Linked DNA regions of Mytilus edulis. The protein of the gene in region 1 purifies or fractionates together with the protein of each later gene. This does not show direct contact. Links are inferred from orthologs where the notes say so. Each region holds a gene or a part of one and is shown on either strand. Other genes may lie near its edges.

Evidence for each region. Proteins that work in one complex are often made in the same cells at the same time.
Region 2: the proteins of mitotic spindle assembly checkpoint protein MAD2A-like (region 1) and E3 ubiquitin-protein ligase RNF8-like purify together in Homo sapiens (co-immunoprecipitation; 3 studies listed by BioGRID and IntAct, with this or other methods). This does not show direct contact. The link is inferred for Mytilus edulis from reciprocal best matches to the Homo sapiens genes MAD2L1 and RNF8.
Region 3: the proteins of mitotic spindle assembly checkpoint protein MAD2A-like (region 1) and anaphase-promoting complex subunit 7-like purify together in Homo sapiens (affinity purification with mass spectrometry; 3 studies listed by BioGRID and IntAct, with this or other methods). This does not show direct contact. The link is inferred for Mytilus edulis from reciprocal best matches to the Homo sapiens genes MAD2L1 and ANAPC7.

What each region holds. Positions count from the first base shown.
Region 1 is NC_092352.1:71,757,757-71,766,247, reverse strand, and holds the start of mitotic spindle assembly checkpoint protein MAD2A-like, read left to right. Parts: upstream 1-4,862; 5' UTR 4,863-4,911; coding exon 4,912-4,981; intron 4,982-7,640; coding exon 7,641-7,787; intron 7,788-8,491. UniProt on the Homo sapiens protein: Component of the spindle-assembly checkpoint that prevents the onset of anaphase until all chromosomes are properly aligned at the metaphase plate.
Region 2 is NC_092346.1:50,165,084-50,173,931, reverse strand, and holds the start of E3 ubiquitin-protein ligase RNF8-like, read right to left. Parts: upstream 3,656-8,848; 5' UTR 3,584-3,655; coding exon 3,467-3,583; intron 1,385-3,466; coding exon 1,268-1,384; intron 1-1,267. Other genes in the region: ubiquitin-like FUBI-ribosomal protein eS30 fusion protein, read left to right, coding at 3,667-3,719, 4,728-4,809, 5,835-5,973, 6,265-6,320. UniProt on the Homo sapiens protein: E3 ubiquitin-protein ligase that plays a key role in DNA damage signaling via 2 distinct roles: by mediating the 'Lys-63'-linked ubiquitination of histones H2A and H2AX and promoting the recruitment of DNA repair proteins at double-strand breaks (DSBs) sites, and by catalyzing 'Lys-48'-linked ubiquitination to remove target proteins from DNA damage sites.
Region 3 is NC_092349.1:56,636,712-56,645,450, reverse strand, and holds the start of anaphase-promoting complex subunit 7-like, read right to left. Parts: upstream 3,656-8,739; 5' UTR 3,594-3,655; coding exon 3,528-3,593; intron 1-3,527. Other genes in the region: peptidyl-tRNA hydrolase 2, mitochondrial-like, read left to right, coding at 3,795-3,932. UniProt on the Homo sapiens protein: Component of the anaphase promoting complex/cyclosome (APC/C), a cell cycle-regulated E3 ubiquitin ligase that controls progression through mitosis and the G1 phase of the cell cycle.

The DNA of each region.
Region 1 (8,491 bases):
ACTATGGAATAAAAAAGGATACATTACATAAAACAACCTAAATACCAGCACATAAAAATAAACAGCCGAGTTAGCCAAAGCCAGTTCAACGCACAAAGTGACGTCACATTTGAATTTCTAAAACCATTTCCAAAAATAAGATAGAATTAGGATAGAATTCAAGATTAGATTTGTAAGACTGATAAAATTTATGAGAATTACAATACTAATTAATATCAATTATGGTAGTAATTAGATAATTAATTGTATTATCTAGCTATGGTGGTGTTTCTTCTGAATCAAACGGTAAACCAAACATATCGTATAAATTTCGTTGATCCAAACTAAAATAACATACCATTTTAATCTGGTGTAAGAAAACAAATCATAACTGAAAGGGTTATTTAGATTAATTGCCTTTCTTTCCCTCAATAATGTGTATGCTTAGAGGAAGATGAACCGAGGAGACATGCATATACATTTAAAATATATTCAGTAAACAGGTAGTCGACGTCATGTAAGAGTTATAACTCATATATAACAAGACTCTGACTTCTTTTCAATCATTTTTATACGCCCGTCAAAATTTTGACGGGACGTATTATGGTATACAAATGTCCCGTGTCCGTCCGTCTGTCTGTCCGTCCGTCTGTCTGTCCGTCCGTCCGTCCGTCCGTCCGTCTGTCTGTCCGGCGTAAACATGTCGCACCGTAACTTGAGAACGACTTATCTAAATTTCATGAAACTTAATATAGTTGTTTTTTTATGATGGTCAAATGATCTGTATACTTTTTGGTGAAAATAAGATTTAAACTTTTTGAGTTACGGCACTTTGTAACTAAAACAGGGGTGTGTTTTTTTTTCACATGTCGCACCGTATCTCAAAAACGATTCTTGATTAGTGCTTAAAACTTTACACACTTCTTAGTTATATTAATCTTAATATCTGTATACTTTTTGGTGATGATTCAAAATTTCATTTTTGAGTTATTGAGTATTTTGTAAAAAAGGGGGAGGGTTTTTTTTTCATGTCGTGCCGTATCTCAAAAACGATTTATGATTATTGCTTAAAACTTTACACACTTCTTTGTTATATTAATCTAAAGATCTGTATACTTTTTGGTTATGACTCAAAATTTTATTTTTGAGTTATTGAGTATTTTGTAAAAAAGGGGAGGTTTTTTTTAACATGTCGCGCCGTATCTCAAAAACAATTTATGATTATTGCTTGAAACTGTACACACTTCTTTGTTATATTAATCTATTTTGAGTTATTGAGTATTTTGTAAAAAAGGGGGAGGGTTTTTTACATGTCGCGCCGTATCTCAAAAACGATTTATGATTATTGCTTCAAACTTTACACACTTCTTTGTTATATTGATCTAAAGATCTGTATACTTTTTGGTGATGATTCAAAATTTCATTTTTGAGTTATTGAGTATTTTGTAAAAAAGGGGGAGGGGGTTTTTACATACGATTTATGATTATTGCTTAAAACTTTACACACTTCTTTGTTATATTAATCTAAAGATAGTATACTTTTTGGTGATGACTCAAAATTTTATTTTTGAGTTATTGAGTATTTTGTAAAAAAGGGGAGGGTTTTTTTTACATGTCGCGCCGTATCTCAAAAACAATTTATGATTATTGCTTGAAACTGTACACACTTCTTTGTTATATTAATCTAAAGATCTGTATACTTTTTGGTTTTGGGGGGGGGGGGGGGGGTTCACATGTCCCGCCGTGTCTCAAAAGCAATAAATGGTAATTGCTTAAAACTTTCTCAGAAACTATTTACGATTATTGCATAAAACTTCCACACAAGACGTCGGGCGTATCATGCGCTCATGGCGCAGCTGTTTATTGTTTTTAATGTTCCTATCTGTCGATTATACTTTTCATAAATATTTTAGGCAAAAATGCAAACAAATTGTAAAAATATCATTAAATAAATAAGCAACAACTCCTATATTTAAAGGAATCGTCAGACAATTTCAGACAGTGGAATACTGACTTATTTGTTTATCATGTCATGTTGAGAACTTTTGTTGTTTAAGTTTTCCGAGGCTATACGAGAGAGGCGACTGATGTCAAAGGTGTTCATTTAAAAAGTCTTTAAAACCAAGAAAAGTTTTTACGTCAGACAAAAAAAAAACGAAAAAGACAATCAACTACAGACCTATATAGCTAGCGACACTAACACCATCAAACACCTGGGTGATCACGTGTTCTCTTGAGGAGTTAGCTCAACATGTGACATTCGTTTTTAAAAAATACGTTGTTAAACTTGTAATTTAGTTATATCTTGAAGTGATAAGGCATGCATGCACACCTCACAGTAGCGGATAGATACCCCACTCGATCTAACTCTAAGACATCACCAAATTAGTAAACCATCGGTAATGAGAAAATTTAATTCTGAAACTTGACCGTGGTTGAAATATTGAAATTTAAACCTTTGTCCCGACAAAGAATAGAAAAGACTGAACATTACCTGTGTTATAATTTATATTCATTCTTTGAAGAAATCTGACATAGAAAAAAAATCCCACAAAGAACAACACTGAAGAAAGATCAGCCCCTTTGAAAAAAACTAATCTATGGGTGATAGCAAGTGCTCACTCTGGGAGATAAATCTCGCACCTACTTTAATGAAAAATAATAATCATAGACATTCATAAGTATGCATATCATTTTTTTTTTCAGAAATGCTGAGATAGAACTGTACAGGTTGGGTGAAATTTTCATGACTTTGGGAGGGGTCTTGAATTGATTTTCTTTTTTTTTAAGATGGGGACTTGATAAAATATTTAAAAAAAACGAAATATGTCCGGCCAGGAATGCCCTTAATGAAAGACAATCACCAGTGCAGACCCTTAGCATGAAGCTTATAATATATTTGACTGATATTTGTCTTTATTTAACATAAAATCATCATAAAATTCTAATCTAGATGAACAGTATTATCGGGTGCATACAATTCAGAAACCACGGATTTGGGTTTACAAACTGATCAATTACAGGGTCGTGTTTAAAAAAAAAAAAGAAGGATTTTTGGAGTTTAAAATTTTTGATTATTTTGTGAAAATAAAAAAAATAAAAAATTTCCAAGCTTTGGAATTTTAAGATTTATAAACTTTTAATGCAATTTTAAGATATTTGATGAAACCAGAGACGAAACCAAGGATTTGTTGAATAAGGCAATTAAATCCTTGATGAAACTTTAAAGACTTAATTAAGTGTCAAGGCAAAGTACTAAACTTTTAATTCTAAAATCAGTGCCGGATCCAGAGGGGGGCGTAGAGGGCGAACACCCCCCTTTACTCTGGCTTTTTTTGTTTTTGTTTTGGTAATATGATTAATCAGACTAGACGTCGTGAACTTTGTCATTTCCCGTGTACTGTAGTATTTAATTTTTATGCGACCATTCTTTACTTATAAAGATATTTATCGCTGGAATTTACTGATTGTCAGAGTCATGTAATTCTCTATGGTGGAGTTGAACAGTGTGTCGAAAAAAAAACGTCGATTAGTCATTTTGAAATTCAAATTACAGTAACACATTGCTTAGGCTGTGGATGACAATCATGACACCTTCAAAGCGACACAGGATTGAGCAAGAACGTATTAACTTCTAATTCTATTTCACTATTCCACCAAACAATCTAGAGACATTTACACTCACATGAAAAAAAGTTCCAAGGCAATATTATTTACCTACGGAAACATGTTTAACCCAAAACGCCCCAGCCAATTTTAAAATACCATAGCTGAATAATGATCCCCAGTCAGTGTAAGCTCTAGATAGTCTATATTCAAAGTCTAAGGTACGAACCATTTGATTTGAGGAGACAGTCTAAGATATTTGTGTAGAAAAAAAATAACTCTGATTTTTGCCTTGAACAAAAATTCTGGCTGTATCTGGATTGACAACAATAATCATGTCCACTGTTTTTGCTAAAAAAAAATAAAAAATTTCCAACAGAATTATTTAGCATTAAATGAACATGATGAATAAAAACGGGCATTTCTTTGGGGGCAGGGGTTTGCATGTCTGAACGGAATGTCTGTTTCGCCGAACTGATATATTAAATACTTTTTTCAAGATCAGACTGCAACCTGCCTGATGGGTGTGGCCTTTATGTCTCCATTTGTCGACCGTCATTCATAAATTCGTTGTCATTTCAGACTCATTCTTAGCCTTTGGTTGATTTGGAACCCCTCACTTCCCTTAATTTTGTTGGGTGAAACATATTAACCAAACTTTGGATAAGAAATTGCTTGTTTGTCTTTTTTAACTTGTACCGGCCGTATTGTAAATTTCATTGAATACCCCGGCGTATATCTTGTTTACAACAAGAAATCTGTGAAGTTACACGCCAGTAACCGTTTGAAAAGTACTTATTACACTTATTTTATGTTTTTAGCCCCAAAAAGGTCCCAAAAATTTTTCGCCTCGCTCCGTTCGGCCATCTTTCAAAACTTCGGCCCCCTTTCCAAAATCCTGGATCCGCCCCTGAAAATCATAATCAAAAATCAAAAAAATCAAAAGCGAAGTAATAAAAAATTAACGTCAAGTTTTGTACTTTTAAAGTTTCATCACGGATTTGTAATGTTTGACTAAACTGTGACCGGCCTTCACTTCGCAGGTCTTTTCACCCGTTTTTTATTTTAAAATCATAATTAAAATTTAAAAAAATCAAACTTTAAAAAAGCGAAATAATAAAAACTATACGTCAAAAGAGGGTATCTGTGAAGTGGAGGGTTTAGTCAGGGACTTTCTATACTAGTATAGAAAGTCCCTGGTTTAGTCAAACATTTCAAAACCTACATGTACAACTTTTTGAGTACGGAAATTCGATCAAAACTGATCCCGTCACCGAGCAGAATTGTATACATAAATTTAGCGGGAAATAGAAATATACACAAATCATGGCCGCAACAGCTACACAAAATGCAATCACATTGAAAGGATCGACAGAAATAGTTTCCGAGTTCTTTTGTAAATGTTTCTTTTAATAACAACAATTTGCATTGTTTTTACACAATGTCTATCTTTGAACTTTCAGGAACTAATGTGTTTAACCCCAGCCCCTTTTTTTTTCAGAACGCATGCCAAGTTAAATTATTATTATTGAAGTATGACTGTATGAAGTTTAAATGCAATGCCATTGGGTAGTTCGATAATCATTTATCGTATAAAAATACACATGCACCCTCTATGAAGGTCATCACGTCAAAAACAAAAGGTCAGAATTCACACCACACAGTCACACTCACACAATTATTTTGAGTAAAAACAATTTCTGGTGGCGAAATTATTCAAACACTGTAGTCTAAATAATCATGATAATTATCCAAAATATTACAATGTCTTAAAAGGTTACACATCATAGTATGACATATGACAGCTCATTTGTTTGACGGCCCATTGTTCAGAAAAATGTTAAAAATGTACATATAGACTCGTCCACTGGAAAACCCATTCATGAGTTGTCATGCGTTTTAGTTTTTGGTATCCAAATAGGAGAATTTGTTTTATCCATTAAACAAGAAAATTCAAAATTGTGACTTACTTATCTTGACCTTTTCATCCACTGTGTATCATTGGTACGCGCGTGATCAATTTTGACCTGACACAGTAAGAAAAATCTTTTGTTTCGTTTACATAATATTAATGTGTACTTCAAATACTTGTCAGAGCAGTTGGGGTTAGTCTCGCCCGATTTGATTCTGTATTCATTGAAACTCTTTTTTTGATAGGAGGCCACTGTCATGTGCGTAATAAGTATACCTGTTTCAATAATTGGCATTGACATCTTTCTTACATATGTTATTTTAAATATTTTATTCAGATAAGAAGCGTGTATGGTGTAAAGCGGACCAAATAAATCCTTCTGTACAGTGGACAGTTTATCCCCGTACACAAAAACTTTATTTTCATGTGTTTTTGATAAAAATTGCTAACGTCAAAACTGCTGACAGAACTTGTTTTGAAATGATCAATTTTCAAATTAAAAAAAAATGACAATTATTATCATCCAGTGATTAAAAAGCACCATTATTGATTATTTGACGTGTGAAGAAATATACTATAATAGTGAATAGTCGTAATCCAATAGGTTACAGACAGTTGTAGACTTCAAATACAACCTTAAAAATTACGATAGTGCAAGTCCATCAAATTTGTTGCATCAATGCAACATTATTTTATCTGATAATGGGCAAATAATAACTCAAACTTTTTAAAGTTATTTTTTATTGTTAAATATTTCACAAACAAATCCCCCCAACATTCTGTAAAGGTTTCTGGAATTTTAATTATTTTATTACAACCCATTTAGATATGTAACAGACACTGGTGCACTTTTAAATGGAAGATGTTGATTGGAAAAAACACAAAATCATATTTCCACAAATATGCAATTTTTTCGTAAATCCACGAAAATTGATACTTTCGAAAATAAAAGAATGCACAGTACACTGAATGGATAAATTTGATCTATGACACAATGTAATAAAATTAATAAAATAAATAGTGGGGTGAGATGTGAAACAAAATCAGAAAGAAAACTTTAACCTTTGACTGTGACTCATGTTAAACAAAATGCTGTTAAAATAAAATAAAGTACATCAAGTTCATGTACACAGATACAAAAATAATTTTGTCATGTTTGTTGAAAGGAAAAGAAATAATTTTGTTCATTGTATTTTCTTTATTTGAATTCTGATTTGGATTACAATAGTCCTAGCCTTACATAATGTACATTAAACTTTTATGGCAACAAGGCATGTATTGGTAGATTTAATGTGTAGTCATTATACATGTATTCTTCATTGTAATGCTGCATTCACACATAATTTGAATTTGATTCGCATTAACTAATTCCCATTAGTTTGATACGCATTCAAATCGTTTTACGTCCAAATCTAAATTCGAATTGCAATGGGGGTCAAAATTCACTTTACTGCCTGAATGACGTTAACTTTTAATTCGTATTAACAAAAACGCATTTCTAATGCGAATTGGATAATGCGATTCAACCAATTCGAATCAATTGGAATTATAATTTAAAGGAGAATGTATGAACGCAGTTACGTATCAAATTCATTTGAATTAAATGAACATGTCAACGAGGCGTATACTTCTTATGTGACTCATTTTGAGGCAAATTTTGTATTAGGTTTATTGGGTTGTAGTAAAATGTAGAAAAGGTTTATTGGCCTGTAGTAAAATGTAGAAATTCTTACAGCCCCAAATAAATTAAATTTTATAAGCATGGGTTACTGGACCTGTGTCCAAGCGTAAACTACAATGTAAAGACAAGAAAATTATTCACTCCCTTATACAATGTACATGCTAAATGATAATACTGTAACAAAATACAGATTCCTCAACATGTCAAATATACATGTACAAATGTAAAGGCCCCCTTATATAATGTAAGAAAAGCAACGTTTTACATCATACATATCATTGCATATAGGAAGATGTGGTATGAGTGCTAATGAGACAACTCTCCATCCAAGTCACAATTTATAAAATAAACAATTATAGGTCAAGGTACAGTCTTCAACACGGAGCCTTGGCTCAAACAGAACAGCAAGCTATAAAGGGCCGCAGTATCAGTACGTATAATTCTCAATAATATTTTTTCTAGCTTTTGGGATCAACAGTATTCTGTATCAAAGAGGAATATATCCACCTGAGACGTTTACCCGACAACAAAAGTATGGACTCACTCTCCTTGTCACTACAGATGATGCACTAAAAAATTATCTGAATGAAGTTATTTCACAAGTGAAAGGTTTGTCAACTTATCTTAATGTCTGTAACCTTCTGCTGTTGTCTGTTATATGTTCATGTTGTTGTCTCTTTGACACATTCCCTATTTCCATTCTCAATTTTATGACATAAAACTATAACTGATACACATTCATATGCCTATAAAAGGCTCACAATAGTTTCTGAATTTACAGTATATGATGGTGATTCACTTTGTTATACTGGTACAATGTACATAGCATATTCACGAATTGTACACAGAAAGAGGGAGGGACTTTTGTTTCTATTTTAAGCGCTTCTTATATTACAATTGTGTGCTATGTGAACAATTGTTATCACTTGGTGCATTTTGAAATTTTTCAAAAAATCTTCTCTTAAGCCACTTATTCTGTGTTCATCCAGAATTAAATGTAAGTCATGTAGGAGTGGGTAAAATGGGAGTGTAATTAAACCTGATAAGGGTCAAATGATTATTTATTTTAATTTGTTTATGCATGAAGGTGGGACTCCTCCCATTATATTAATGATTTATTTACATTCTATATCTTTGATCTTCAAGAATGTAAACTTACAAACCTGTGTATGTCTCTTACTACTGAAAATGGATGTGTAATTCTGCTAGAGTTGTCTCCCATTACATACTAAATTTATCACTTAGAAATACAATGGAGTCTGGAAATGTATCTGACCATTTTACAACTTAATTACAATTCATGTTGATTGAAG
Region 2 (8,848 bases), on another chromosome or scaffold:
CAACTTACATTCATTTGATGAAATATTTGTTTTTTTGTAATGCATTAATACTTTAAAGCATATTTTCAGCATTTTATTGAAAAATCCTATGCGAATCAAGTACGCAAAAAAATAAATCAATGGCGGAAAGGGTTTCTACAATGTAACTGACCATAACAGTTCAGACAAAACAATATTTGTTTTTCATTGTTGAACCTTATTCGGCAGGTGACTTATAAGATATCAGGATATGCTTTATACATTTTTTATACTTAAATTTTGTTCTTAGATCAGATTACTTTAGACATTTTGTTGACTGGGAACAACTGACCTTAAGATTTAACTGCCCTATAAATAAATGTACTTGTCATTGCTTGTGTTGTCTCCACTTCACTGATACATAGACAATAACTGTTTAGTGCCTTTAAATATCAGCTGTATTTGTACGAGGCTAGGAAACAAGGTGTATGCGAGCTTTTAGCGAGCTATTACACCTGTTTCGAGGCAAGTTATTAATTCTGTATATATATTTGTGTTTTGAAAGACACAAAAACACATGTTTTGCATTTATTTTCAATTTGAAATCTCTTGAGGCCCGTGTAATAATACAATACAGTAATCACACATTCAGCTGAAGACGGGTTCGCAAAGAAAGAATCTTGAATGGTCAACAATAATACATCACTCAAGGTGAATAATTATCTATTTTAACATAACAACTAATTTCAACAGTAAAAACAAATAACAAAACATTGTCCAATTTGAAACAGGAGTGTACGAGTTGTCCTATGCTTCAGACTCGACATTCACTAAACATGCATGCTGAAATTGACATGGTTGTTTTTGTTACACAATCATACACATTCAAGTTTTGAAATCGATAGTTGTCATCGTAGAAAAGACTGCTGTTCATGTGTGTATGTTATCAGAAAATTGGTGTTTCTTATTGCTCTAAAGAAATGTTTGAAAACAAACAGAACGTATAAAAGTAATCGTTAATTCGCAATTGATACGTCATTGGAATGCAACTGCAATACACATTCTGAGGTCACACAGGTTCATATAATACTCAGTCTGGCAGTGGGCGGAGCTTTAAAGCATTATCTGTATAGTATACAGATACAGCATAGCAATATCTGTAGGGCTTTATCTGTATAGTACAACACCCAATTGCAGGATAAATCAATATACATGTACATGTATGATCAAAACATCTTTATTTATTTCTCAAACAATAACTTCAGACAAAGGATTGAATTAAATAAGATTGTATGTGGCTATTACGTACCTTATTGTCTCTCACAGTCCACTGTCCCTCGTCATTACATTTGAATATGGCATGACATCTTGATATCATGTTAGACAAGAGACAAACTGTGACATCTGGCGCTCTCCCTACAGTAACCTACAAGATAAATAAACAGATATTTTAATAAAATACAGCAGGAGTCTCACCATGACAACTCCATTGAATTCTGCAGTCATGAAAATCTGCAAGGACTATTATTTAATTTTCCAAATAAGTGAATCCAAAGATGTACAATGTATCAAAATCATGTAAGTTGAGTCCAATAATCTTCATTTACTGAGAAAACCACCGACCTTGGATTGAAAAAGTTCTGAAAACTGAAAAAAAAGGATTTACTGGGATGAAACATTTTTAAGATATAAAAGCCCTACTGGTTACATGTTACATGTACAATAGAGAACATCTTTGTTTCTGTACCATATCAGTAATTAAATGACTCTACAATATAATGGATATGTTTTTGAGTGTCAAAGTCCTGCCTACTAAAAGAAACAAGAAATCACAGGAAAAAATGTAATATTAAACAAACTTAACACAGTATCTCCTGCAACAGTTGTTGCTTTTACAGAAGGTTCTTGCCAACCCAACTCCCTTATTAAATCTATCCAAAAACATCGTGGAATAAAAATTAATTTTGAATGGACCCCAGGACATGCAGCTAAAGAGGCAAATCAAATTAAAAAAGAAGCTCATATTACAGTAACTAAACAAGATATTAAAACAGCAGCAAGAATTTTAGTGAAAAAGTGGCAACATAGATGGGATAATAGTGATACAGGAAGATTTTATTACAATTTTCATCAGATTGTCAGCAAAAAATCAACATTTGATTATCCAGATCATAAAACAGCAAAAATTATTAGAATTTTAAGATCCGGATACCATCTAAAAAATTACATTATTTACTATTTTGTGAAAATTATGAAGAGGCTAGACAGAAACTTATACATGAGATATACTTAAACACAGGATCGTTGCATATTGATTTGGAACTTTTATTGTCATGATGGAAAAAAACGACAATGTCTCCATCTCTAATGAAACACTAATGCGATTGTTGGGTGGCTTTATTTGCGAGTCACGCCGGTTTGATTAATGAAATATTAATTATTATTTCTTTTTTTTTTCCTTTAAATTTTCATGTTAATTAATAAATGTATTATGTTTTTAATTTTCAGTGTAATTGTTTGCCTTAAATTAATGGAGAATAAAGGCTTTTTCCCCTGGAGAAGAATCCCAATTTGAAAAAAAAATGGCTTAAAATTATTCCCAAAAAGACAACTTTTTCCCAAACAGTGCAGTCTCAGTAGTTATTTTGCATGAATACAAACTGAAAAACACTAGTGTATACATTTTACAAGCCTAAAATTACTATATGTGCAGATTTGAGGGTCTATTTATGTATCATCATTGACAAAAGCAGTCTTATTTTTAAACAGGGTTTGACTCTTGAAAGCGGGTCTGTAAATTGAAGTTTCAGTCAAATTCATTGTTTAATCTAAATTTCCCAATTTGATGAAAATTACGCATATTTTCCCAATAAAAAAGGGTACAGGTAGTTTTGAAAAAAGCCAACAATATCACTGATTTTTGTCAAAATATGTTAAGCACAGTCATTGACAGTTGCCACCTAAAAGTATATATTTTAAAGTACAAGTGAGTTGTTTACCAGAGTGAAATATTTACACGCGAGACTTGAACAATTAAAAGAGGGACAATCCAGTGTCAACAGCGACACCTACAGAATACAGAATTTCACGTGTCACGCTTATTAAAAAAAACGGCAATCCCGCATCACGCTTAGACCCTAATGAGACCCACTATCTATGTGCTGCCTAGCTGAGAAAACGTAGCTCTATTGTCTTATAAATTTTTTTTTGGCATAATTTACTGTCCGCAAATATCAAAATCATCAAAAGAACTTCATTCGCAGCTAGACCATAGATGCTGCCAGGCTAAAAAACTTTTCAAATCAGTTTTGTCTGTACTCAGAGAAAATTTCATGGTGTAAACACAGTCATTTTGTTAAAGTGTATTGATGAACCTCAACTATGTTTATTGTCTACAGAGAGAGGGGTATCTATAACTTTTCTGGACCTCATAAGATTTATTTGTATTACGTATTTATATCATGGTTATAATATATTTTTGAAAGGACAATTTATGTAAATAGCATACTTCGGTTTTCTTTTCAAGGCTAATAAGCTTGTGCTTCTTAACATTATCGCCAATGCGATGAAGACAAGGGATGTATGTTGTTTCTTGGTCTTTGGTTTGGCTCAGTTGCTGAGACATTTTTGCTTCTCGATTTAGATGAGAGCGCTCTGCGCTAGTCGTTTGTGCTTTACGTCATAGATTTCGGGGTAGTATTTCCACGCATGCGTACAAATATACTTCCTTTTTGGACTGATTTTGCATTGCACCAGCACGTGTAAGTCTTGTTAGATGATTATTGTCCTATTTTAATGTATTTTCACTATATTAAAAGTTGATAAAATATTGCACGTTCCTCAGACCACTTTTTGACGAACAGACAGGTATGTGCTCGGCTAATTTCACTCCAGCTTTTCATATGTTGATAAACTGTAAATCTCACCCATGCTGAAGACGGGATATCCATAAATATATAATATTAATAATTAATTTGGAACACATATCATATGAAGTTAGTGCTAGAAATTTTCTTATTCAGTGTATGACCAAATCAGATAATCGCTCCACATCATATCAGAAAGAATTGGTACCAAGACTAAGGAGAGAGATCACTGGCTACTGTCTTCAAAAGATGACTCCTACTAAACAAATTTTTCATAAAATCATATTAATCTTAAAACCTGGTATCAGTCTGTTTCAAATCTGTTCCAACTTGTCCAGCCAAAATTAGAAAAATGAATAATTTCTTTAAAATTGGAGGATTTTGTGACGCATCTCATCAATAGACGTATTTACACTTGTTTGCAAATTTGTCCGCCATTACATAAAATCACACAGGTTCCCGTAAATTTGACATCATAATTCAAAACATTTGACGTCACAACTAAAAGGTTATTGTTGCTTGACGTCAAAAGGTTATTCGGAGGTGATATAAGGTCATTCAGAGGCACAATACAGCTAAATACCAAAAGTGTAAATACGTTTATAACTCATGAAAAAAATAGTGAAAATTCATCCTACAGGATCGGAGGAAAAATAATTAAAAAAACAAACAAACAAAAAAGTTAAAACAGCATTGACGATTGGTCAGGTTGGTGATGATGATGATGTAGGTTTACAAAAGTATTGTAGAAAACTATATAATTAAAATTGTCACATCTACACGACTACATGTAGTTTTGACGGAATATTGTTCTCATTGATATTGAAATGCATTTAGTGTATGAAGAATACAACTCGACCTACTGAAACATAATTATCATGTTTATTTTATTTTTATCTCTAGGTTAAACATGCAGCTTTTTGTACGGGGTAGCCAAACCCACACCTTTGAGGTGTCAGGAACAGAAACCATTGCAGATATCAAGGTGAATAGAGAAATTAAAAAAAAAGATGTTTTTTGTCACAATAAGATTTTAAAATTTACATCCAGATTATTGTTAATGTTCCGTCTGCATCAGAAATGTTTTCAACTCCGAAGACCAACATTCTGACATTTTTCTTATTGGGCCAAACAAAGTTGCAAAAACTTATTAGTCCCAATGAAATTTGACTAGTCTGGGGCATTGGACTAGTGGCTAACCATGCAGACTGAATGTTTCAAAAATATGATTTAATTGTACCTGTCAGAATATGAAAATTGCTGTTTATTTTAATACAAAATGTATCTATTCAAATTGCTGTAAGTTTTAGTCTTAGCATGTAATTTGATATGTATACATGGTGTTCAGTTGGATTATAGCCTGTGATTCTCACTGTCTGCTCCACACTAGTGGACTGGATTTGTAGGGTATGTCAAGACAATTGCATTCAACTGGAATAGATAAGTTAAGTTAAACAAGATTAAAAGTGGAAAAGTATTGTGAAAACGAAACAAATGTCGACTTTCACAAGAAACATTTAGATTTGAATAGAAAGATTAAATATTGCCTATACCGTTATAAATTAATGTAAAGCTTGGGCTGACCACATACATGTACATGTAAATGATGTATCAACCCTTTTTGTACAAGGCCATCTTTTATTATTATTACACTATATATAAAGCCACAACAAGAGCATCCTGTTTCTACCACTTGAGAACCCACTGGTCTGCTCTCTGAGTAAACTGGTTTCCACATTTTCCTCAGTGATCAGATAACTTATGACATGAAAGTCATGAAATATGAAGAAAGATATATTGAAAAAAGCTGTGGAAGATGCCAGGCACAAAACAAAGACCAATGGTATACAAAACAAAACATACAATCTAAGAACAGGACAACAAGAACCTAATTACATGATTAAAACAAACAAAAATGAGATTGATCACTATCAAGTATCATTAACATATTTATGACATTTTAATAGATTTGTAATTATTTTAAGTGAACCTGTAATTTTATGATTTTAGAGCTTTTTACTAGCAAAGGATGGATTTCCAGTTGAAGAACAGGTTATTATGTTTGGAGGAAAACCCTTACAAGATGATTTTCAGCTAACTAGCGTCGATGAACTTTCAACTCTTGATGTTGACCTCAGAATGCTTGGAGGTAATATTTTTTTTTAATTTGGCCACTTTTTCATCAAATATTTATTAGCAACCTTACAGCCTTCAACTTTGAGCATAAACTACTTGTATACCATATAGTCAGCAGTTCAAAAGTCCTGACACGAAAAATATGAAACACTAATTCATCTGAAAAAACTAGCAGTCTAATTTACATAATACAACAAATATGAGTCTTTGTTTGAATCTTCTTCCTTTCTTTCCAATGCCAATACAAATCTTTTAGACTATTCCTACCTGAACTTTATTTAAAAATATTTTTTTTTATCAACAGGTAAAGTTCACGGTTCTCTTGCTCGTGCAGGAAAGGTCAAGGGACAGACACCTAAGGTAAGATTATTCTGTATGATAATACAAAACTCAGATTATTATACACTGAATTAGATTGAATTTCTTCTAGTTTAGTGTCCATAGATCGTTATTTGTTTTTCGTCACTTCATTGTATATTACCATTCGGCTAGACAGGGCCGACTATAATAGACTTGTTTCACAGCTGAAATGTTTTTGTTGACATCATATTACATATGCCAGGGTTTGACACTAACATTAGAGGTGATGTAGTCCACAGGACTACCAAGAAAAATTTTGGGTAGTCCTGGTAGTCCACCTCCATCACCGGTGAGGGCCACAACGCGGCCCGAACTAGCTAGGGGGGTTTGGGGGCATGCCCCCCCAAGAAAATTTTTCGAAATAAGATGCAATTTCCTGCCATCTGAGCACCTCAAAAGCACACAAATATTCATTCGAGTTTTGAAAATATTTTGTTTTTTTTTCAGATAAAATAAAGTTGACATTCAGTGAATAAATTTTATTACTCCTGAACTTTTACCGTCAGAAAATTTTGAAAAATGAAATGCAAAATCTGCAATCTGAGACAATTTCTAAGGCCTTGTTAGGTGGAGTTATTTGACCTTTTATTCCAGAATTATTTAGAAAAAAAGGATAAAAATAAGTCAAAGTTTTCATTAATTCTTCAAACAGTTTATAAGATTTTTCTTGTAGTGATACAATATATTAATGTCTTTGTTTGTGAACTAGAGGTCAACTTCATCATCACTGTTGAAAGCAATTCAGTGGATATGTTGCTATTATTTTATAATGGTTATATTCTCCCACTGATAGATTATTGTTGTATTATTTGGAGTGGTTGTGCTAAAAATGAGCTAGTCAGAATAATAAAATTGCAGAAAAGGGCTGCAAGACTTATTTTAGATGCTGATCCACTTTCATCACCAGCTCTACTGTTTAAACAGCTTGAATGGATGACAGTAGAGAACAGAATCTCATACCACAAATCAGTTTTGATGCATAAATGCCTTAAGAATGAAGCCCCTTTATATCTCCCTGAAAAGTTTAAATGCCAGAAATAAACCAATATTGTTTGAGAAATGCCTCTTGCAAAAATTAACAAGTTCCAAAAGCCAAAACAGAGCTTTATAAGAAATCTTTTATATATTCAGGATCTATTTTATGGAATAACTTACCAATATCCCTGAAAAAATCAACCTCAAGTACAAGCTCATTCAAAAAAGATTTAAAAAAATTACTTGATGGAACATTAAGAAGCTATGCATTTTTTATATGCATAATAATTTTCACACATTTACTCAAACTTATGATATTGTTGATGCCAATACTATACATGTCATATATGAATTTGTAACTTTTACCTGTTTTGAAAATTGTATATTTCATAACAATTTTTTATTTCATTATTCATGTATGTGTGTCTGTTTGATATTTTGTAATTGTTTGTTATATTTCATTGTATTTCATGAGGGCCTCAGGGAAGATTACAGCTAACTGTGTAACCCTCTTTAAATAAAGAATTATTATTATTATCATTATTATTAAAACAAAATGTCTTTAATACCATTTTGAATGACATGCATTATATGGTTTTTTTTAATAAGAAAGCCACCAAAAAATATTGTTGGATTTTTTTTCAAACTACCTCTTCCTGTTTCTTTTTTTAGGGGTAATAATTTTTTTTTCCAAATTTGGGAAGTATTTTTTTCTCTGACACCTACGTTTTTATTGCTGACCTTTGCTGTCTAATCTGCAGTTTCTTCACATTTTGGTTATTAGACATTTTCATTTTACATTGAAAATCCCATGTGTTACAAACACTGTGAAGATTCTGATCACTAATCTGGATCTTAAAAGTGCTTTCATAATAACAATATAAAATTTAAGTTCTTCCAAATGCCATCACTGTCTTTGAAAAATGTAAACATAATTGGGAGGACTTTTATGCCAATTTTTAGCATTGAAATAGCTAGACCATATACAAATTTCCAGGTGGTCCACAGGACTACTGATTAACCATGTTTTGGTAGTCCTCCTAGATTTTAGGGGGGCACCGGACTACCGTTAGTGTCGAACCCTGTCATATCAGGATGTCCAATTACACTCAGCACATGACACTGTCAAGTAGGTTTTCAATTTGAAACTTAGTTTTTAAAAGCATTTAACAGACTGGTTATGTGTACATATAGTTGTGTTATCTATGGTCATTAGTAGTTGAAATTTGTGTGTAACATGTTAAATAAACAACCAAACAATATTGAACCACTGGAGAATCTGACTCCATCAAGCTAGAAAACACATATTTACAATTGAATTATTAAAGATAGGATAGAATGGTTATTAATATATTACATGTAAATTACACTGGCTGCTAATATTTAATGAATTATATATGTGATATTCGGAGAAAGTTAAAGAACCAGATACATGTATAGAAGTGTTAGTATAGAAATGCCAATGTAACCTTTAATACAGGGTTGGCAAACACCCGGGTTTTATGAGTATTGCCCAGCCCAGTGGGAAATACTGGGAAAACCCAGGTTTTAGT
Region 3 (8,739 bases), on another chromosome or scaffold:
TATTTCCCGACGGATGGATTCGCGATCGATGTTCAATGATAATTTTATTTCTAAAAACATGACAGTTTGAGACGATTTGAGCTTGTAATCAACATTTTTTCACTTTCTATTAATTTAAATCACTCCTCGTTATCTTTATTCCAAGTTTATTTTAATTTTTTCAACTACAAATACTCTCATTCATAATTTTCATCGTAAATATCTTTAGCAATGTGTATTCAAATTTATCACGTGTATTCAATACGTTCATTGGTCATGTATTTATAGATTCTTCTTCTCGACCAATGAAAATATTCGTTATTTAAATGATCAAGTAATCACACACACGATGTGTAAATACAATGCATTTGCGATCTATTTCTTCAATTTCTGCACTGAAGTTTTTAATTTTTTTAATTCTCTTCTGAAAATACAGATTTTCTTGATGATCATTTACGCTATTACATGATAACATAGTCCGATAAGGCTGAGATAAGCGTGGCTCAGGTAACACTAATTATCAGTTATTGCGCAACACTGACCGACCTCTCAGCGGTGATCAGCAACTTGACAATTTTAACCAACATTTATAATGAAAATGTGAAAATTAACATGCTGTGGGATCAAGTATTAAGGCATACCTGTCAACTCACCCGTTTTTTGCGGGTGACACCCGTTATTTTCACCTCTCACCCGGGAGTTTTTCTTTACCCGGCGGGTCCCGGGAATTTCTAACATTTCCCGTTTCACCCGGATTTCTGACCGGAATTGTTTCCGTTATTTAGAAGTAATGTGGCCTTCGGTTTTATCGGTCTTTTTCAATGTAACCAAAAGTCAAAATGTAGGACTGTTTACCTGAGCTGTGAAATAGCTTCAGGTTATTCCTGTGGAAAAACTAAAACCACCCAAATAGTAAAGAGGGCCCTTTCAGTTGAAAATAACAAAGTGGTAGTTGAAAACAAGCCAAGATTTTTTGTTTTGTCAAAACTTGCTAAAACATTACTGGTTTTGCCAAACAGCAATGCAGACAGTGAGAGGGCATTTTCTTTGAATCCGGGTCCGTCCGCCCTGATTTTTGTTCGCCCTAGTTACTGTTCGCCCTAGTTCCGTTTCGCCCTGAGACCGTTCGCCCTGATACCTGTTCGCCCTGGGTATGTTCGCCCTGATTTATATTTTTTATTATAGTGTTGTGTTGTGTGTATTTAATTGAATATGTTGAAGTCAGTCTACAATTTCGCCGAATATTTACGATTTTTATTTTTTTTATAGTGTTGTGTTGTGGGTTTTTAAGTGAATATGTTGAAGTCAGTCTACAATTTCGCCGAATATTTAAATGTAAAACAACTGAAGACTAAATTATTTGTATGTAATGGCATATGTTGAAGACTGTTTACATTCACCGAATATTTATTTATGATGTATTACGTGTTGCTGCTTTTGGGAAATAAGTGTCTCGGAATTTCAGCACTACATTGTATTTTTAAATGTACTAAGTTATTATGTTGTCTTGCTGCTACGAGGATAAGTTTCTGTGATTTCAAAGACTACAAAGTATTTGACATGAAACAACTAAAGACTAAGTTATTTATATATTTAACTTTATTGATACATTTTAACAATATAAAAATATTCAGTAACAGTTATAACAAGATCGATCAATTCCGAACTGCACTTCGCACACCTCCTCTGGTGCTGGCTCAACTATTGGCTCTGGTGCTGGCCAGTTGATCTGTTCACATGGTGTGCAAATGAACTGTAGGTCATTGCCATGTCTGGCGTCTTTGTAAGCTTGAAAAGTTATACCTAAAATTCAAATTATATATTATAAATATATTCACATGTGAACAATATAAACATCAATATAAAATTACATTGATATTTTTTATATATATAAATCTACTTGTACTAGAACATAATACTAAATATGAGAAAACATTCATACTAACGTAGTTATATAGATATATATTTGACTTTTTTTATCTTAATATAGTTACTTTAGTTCATTAATTATATATATGGGTATATACTGAAGGCCGTACATTGACCTATAATGGTTTACTTTTATAAAATGCTATTTGGATGGAGTTGTCTCATTGGCACTCACACCACATCTTCCTATATCTAGATATATATATTCTTGTTTAATTCCTGATGAAAGTTGCAACAAAATTTAATATTTATAAATTAAAACACTTACCAGTGCCACACAATCTATGCTACCATTTCTCACATACGTCACATGATGCTGCATGTTGACGAGGTCGGACCTCTCTGTCACAAGAAATACACATGTACACTTCCATAGTTTATGGAATAATGCACCGGTTCCATAATCCACTTCCATATATAACAAATTTGTCAAAACACACTTGAGATCAAAGAAGCCAAGCTGCGAAAATAATTTCCCTTTCATGCCTAACAATTTGTACATCAGTGTTTCTACCCATCCAAGCTGACTATTTTATTTGAGAAAAATTGTATTTTCATTATTAATCCATCAAAGACAATTCATATAACAATCAGTGATATCAAAGATTTCAAATTATACCTAATCAGCAATCAAAATTCAATCAACAGTAATTAAAAGTAATTCTAAAATAAAGTGTAACAATGCAGCCACGAATTTTATTTAATTAATATTCTGTATTCAGCTTTAATAGATAAACATAAATTTTAATATATATAAATATACATTTCTTTTATAATGAAACATATTACATATAACATATACATATCATTTATAGATAAACATAAATTTTAATATATATAAATATACATTTCTTTTATTAATGAAACATATAACATATACATATCATTTATGAGAATAGGGCGAACGAACTCAGGGCGAACGGAATACCAGGGCGAACAAACTCAGTGCGAACGAACCTAGGGCGAACATGTAATCAGGGCGAACGATCCCGATACCATTTTCTTTAGTAAAGAAAATAGCTACAGAGTGTAGGGCTGATCTTAATAAGGATACACTGTGTGCTCTTCTTTCTTGTAAAATGAATACACATTTGCATTGCTATGAACTGAAACCAAGTGCAGTTCTTTTAAAGAATGCCAAGTCTGCTACTATGGAATATAACAATAGTCTGAAATAAACTTGTATACATGTTCTAACTGTTTCATATACATATTGACTATATAAATTATATGTAAACATATTTTTGTTCTTCAATTGAGCCCGCAAAATGTCGTACGCGTTATGACCTGAGATTTTTTTTCTCATTGGAGGTCATGACCTGACTTTTCATTTTCAGAGGTTGACAGGTATGATTAAGGGACAGCGGCCAATTAAGACGCTGCAGGATCTACGAAAATATTATGAAGGCGATGCGGCACCTGGGGAGAACACTGGACAATTGAAAACAGGCATTTGTTTCTATCAATGGGAAGGTCGAATATCAAAATAAATTATATACAATGTATCTTCGCATTGTCATTTTCATAGATACTGATAGAAACATGTTCCTGTGTTTAACGGCATTATTGGCCTTGTTAAGGGTGATACAATTTTATCATAGTTTTCTAAATAAACGTACAAGCTGCTTAAGATCATGAAATAGCTCAGATTCGTGCAAAAACCGCACATGATCAAAAAGATTCATTTTCCTCCACTATTTATTTTTACTACTTCCTTCTTTCGGGTTTCTCTAATTTATCTTCGATTGCGATGGGAAAAGTCCGCATGTTCCGAGGGAAACACGATCTCAATCACTTTAGTGTTTATTACAGTCATATTTTTACTTGAAACTAGAGGAAAAAGGTAACATTGAGCAAAATAAATGTGCTGAAAATAAATAGCAAAAATGACATCATTTTTCAGTAAAGAGCAAACAGGATATGTTGCTGTAGGAATAGGAGTCGGTCTTGTCATTGGATGGTTTCTTAAAGGACGTCTCCGACCTAAATTAGCTGTTTTATCATCTAAAAATGGTTTAAATGAAGTAATTTCAAGTAAACTCTATACTTTCGGGGTTGTTCACATAATAATTTAGAAGTCTAGTCTGGGAATAATATGAGGCAGGCGTTACCTGAGAAAGGGGACAAAGTCCGTATCAATTATTTTTTTAATTTCAATATATTTTAATGTTAAAAAAGAAACGGAAATACCGTAATGTTTCCGTTGTTGGTCCTTTTTAGTTATGATGTCATTTTCAATGTAAACAAAGAAACCCTATCATCAGGTAATATGAGGCAGGCATTACCTGTGAAAGGGGACGAAATCTGTATGAATTATTTTTTTAATTCAAACATATTTTAACTTCAAAATCTGTTAAACATGTTAAAAAAGAAGCGGAAATACCGAATGTTTCTGATTTTGGTCCTGTTAGGGATTTCAGTTGTGACGTCATTTACATTTTTAATGTAAACAAAGAAACGCTATCATCTTCTGGTTTACAGAATGGTGTGAAAGGAGGTGATGTAGTTGGCAAATATTTTCTTGAGTAGACTTGATTAATTTTGATGGGGCTTGACAAGCAAATGATAAGGGATTCCAAGGTGACAAAAATCTGCTTCAGACTCAGAATCCCATAAGGAATTATCCTAGGTCCAGTTAAGACAACATTAAAAAATCTTACTATATGATAATGAGTTTGTTTATTTAAAGGATCACTATAAGTTTAACACACTGGCTATGATTACGTTGAAACGTACATGTAATGTTAATAAAAAAGTTATAGTTATGTTGGACATCTAAATGCAGAAATGCTATTTTGGGTTAGGAACCAATTAACTATGAGCGTACCAATAATAATTGTGTCTACAGCTATGTTGCGTTATTGTTTCGTTAGATTTATTAAACAGTCAAGGGTCTAACTTAAATAAGTTAATAGAGAAAAATAACAAGCATGTGTTATTACAGACACTTTCATGAGTTGTCTACTCTTTTTTCCTTAAAGGGAAACTTCGCAAAAAAATCAAAAATTGATATTATGTTCATTCTGTATAAAAATGTTCAAATTCATAGATATTAAAGTTTTATTCCGCTAGATAAGCGATCACCATCGATTTTAAATTTAGAGTATCAATTCTCCGAGATCCGCCATCTTGTCTTCTTTCCCGATGAATAAAAACGATATGTCTATAAACCACAAAGAAACAAAACTACAGTAACCGATGTAGTCGTAATTGCGTGTCGATATCTTGTCAATCGTACGGTTGTTTAATACGACTAACTAACTTGATACGGAAAATATTCTTACTGTTTTTAAATTACCATGGTCTGTTGTTTTTAAACTGTTGATATTGGAATTAGGTGAAAAGTCAAAGTTGAAATCATAAATAAGTGTTCCGTGAAAATTGTTTTCGAAAATCTAATTTGTTCATAATTCTTTAAAGTAATAAACTTTTTTCAAATATATTTTGATCTTCCCTTATCTGATCACCAGCATGGCTAAAGGTATTACTTCCAAAGGTATTGTGAGGGGTGTGAGGTGACACGTCCAGGTATTCAAGCGATTTCCTGTCGGGCTTGCAAGTTCATGCATCGTTTCACTTCTGCAGGTATTGATCAGTGTACACGGCTGATAACTTATAACTTATAACTTTCCATTTTGAACTATCAGATGTATAATATACAACTCTGTCTTACTTGTCATTACTAAACTCATACGCTTGTTTATAAATAACATTTCTGGTGTAAAGAATATAATTCATAATATATAAATAATACCCAAAAAATAAGATTTGATGAAATTAAAATCTATTTAAATATTTTTTCCAAGGGTGAATTTGGGAAAATGTAATATATAGTCATTGTCAATAGTGAAGGACAGATTGGAACAGACCAGAAATATTGATTTAAAAAAATGTACGCACTTGCCGACGATTCGTTTATACGACTGGATATAAAGTTACGGAACTATAGCGCAATTTAAAATATATACGTGTATACATTGAACATAAGAAAAAAACATATATTTTGAATAAATAGGGGTAAAAGTGTTGTAAATAGACTAGCCAACGTATGCCAACAGTATGTAATCATCGAATGTCGATAGACTACAGTTGTATACCAAAAGAAGAAGAGAACCAATTTGATTTAAATACAGGTCGATGTATAACTTTTGCTTTGGTTCATTGAAGCTGTGGACCTAGGAAAATCACAGATTTATATTTCAATAAGATTGTTCTCAAACAAAGGAAGGAATTCGTCATCACAATTGTTATATATGCCACTGGACGAACACTAATTATCCCCAGGGGATGTGAATATTTTGCTGGGAAACTTTAGAGTATCAAAGTTTCAAATTAATTTAGGGATTTATTTTCTTTCTTGGTATTCAATAACCGAAAAAAGAATAAATTACTTGTTCGCTAAATAGGGATATTCTTGTCAGATAAAAGAATTTTAGTTATATTTAAAAAATAGGGAAATATGACATTAAATTGGTTCTGTCTTTTTTTAAACATCGTTAAAACGATGTGTGTCTAAGGTGAACGCCACAAGAACCCTGTAATACTAGTACGAGAGTATAGCATGTAAACATTCTTTCTCAATAATATGGTTGTATTGGAAAACTTTTCATACAGATTGACAACTCATTGTCCGATATGCATGTAATATTTGCCACATGACGCCCATAGTTCTTTCTACCATCATCACCTTATTCCTTGATATTGCTGTAAACATCGATGGTTCACACCCAAACAAAATGGGAGTAATGAACCTTCAGAGCTTCTCTGTGTTATACACTTGTGAAATATATAGACGAAATTTCTGTATTGAAATGAATCTACATCTCACAAACAGGATTTTCAAATAACGATTTTGAGTAATCACCTTACAAACCAATATAAACGTATGGCAAGATATAACCATGAAGGAATTTAGTTTTTGAAAAATGACGCTTTCAGCGGCATGTTTCTATACTAGTGAACTGAACTTCCATTACATTTCTCTGCCTACCGCGCTTGGTTCGTATTTACTTTCCATTACATTTCTCCGTCTACCGCTCTTGGTTTCGTATCTACTTTTTACATTTAAACTGGAATTTGCTTTTATTATGATTTTTGTGTAGTAATCAACCGGGAACCAGTTTGCATACCTCCGGTCCTTCTTATTACCAAAAAGATGGAAGTGTACCAACCAATGTTGTTAAGATACTCATAAATCTATTTTTATAACTTTATTGATTATGTGAAGTAAAACTAAAACATTGTTAAAACATTAAAAATCTATAATTAATCGGGGAAAACTTGATAGTCTTTTCTTTTTACAAACCACTGCCTTTTTTATAAGAAAATATAATGTGTCTTCTTCTTCTTCTTCCAGGTAAGGAACCGGATTCATTGCTGAATGTTAATGGTTCCGCGCGAAAACTTTACGCAGTGTCGGGCAACACAGAAAGATTTCTCTTGGCTATTTACAAATTACATTGTCCCTGTTGGTCCACTTTCTATTGGAAATAAGTACCGGAAATCCTACTCAATCTTTGTTTACAAAGTTACAACAGTAGAGTCTGTAACAGACTGTATCTGTATGACATGTGCATTGACATGTGCATAAATTGTCGATATCGATGCTGGCTTTAATACAACGGTTTTATTGGCGGGGTGGGATCGTTCGCCCTGATCGGTGCGATCACTGTCTTACGGAATTCTAGTCAAATCGGCACCTGGTCAATTCGGCACCCGGTATAGTCAAATCGGCATCTAGTCAAATTGGCACCTGGTTAAACCGGCACTTGATATAGTCAATTCGGCACCCATGTAAGATTTGTTTAATATATATTTTAACAGTATTTTAAGCAAAAACAGTAAAAATAAGGAATGGGTTGTCCAGAAATTTTACAGTATTTACCCAAGAAAAGGTAGATAAGGAAGGGGGTTTGATAGAAATATTAACCTAATTTTATCATGTTTATTCACATTTTTAAAGGTTGAATTATTTATATTTATTATTGGATGCCTAATTGGCTTTAAATAGGTGCCGATTTGACTAGATGTCGATTTAACCAGGTGCCCATTTGACTTGTACCATATTATTAAGGCCCTAAAGTGAGTTTGAATATTGTACGGTGTTTTACTTGGCGGAATGTCAATACACTCACAGTAAGAGTTATTCTTTGCTTGCTTTTCCACAATAATTGTTTCGTGGTATTCTTTGAATTCCTCGGCAGTTATGGTTCTCTTCGGACATGTTTTTAAGAGGAATTCGTCTGGTTCAATAGCGCGAATCAGCCCCTCAACTTCTTTGTACATAAATACTAACTTTGGCTTGAACGTTTTGTTCGTTCTTGTTGTAGTTCCAGTTTGGCAAATATTTTGGAGACTTATCCATCCTCTTTTGACTTGTAATCTCTGGTGATAAATATTGCTGCTTGACATGTTTATTTTTGTTACCGGGTAGGGGTCGCATACGATGGCTCCATATTAAATTATAAGATCAATTCCTAAAGGTCTAGTTCATTATCCAATCTGACACAAATTTCAATAACTGGAATGCCACCCAAGTTGAATATATGGTGACCCACTGTAACAGCACAATTACTTGGGATTGTGTTTAATACCATGATGGTTCAATGGCATAAACTTAAATGGAGACAAAATTTAACATGAAAGATTGTGGATTAGTGTAAAATAAAAAAAAACTAGCTTACTATAATATATGGTTAAAGAATGAATATCAAATTATATGGGTCATGGGCAGAGTTGTTATAAAATATCAATATGGCAGAGAAGTGGTTTCAAGTTTCATATAAAGGGACCTGACTGACATGAAATGAAAAAATCAAAGGAGTATCCCTT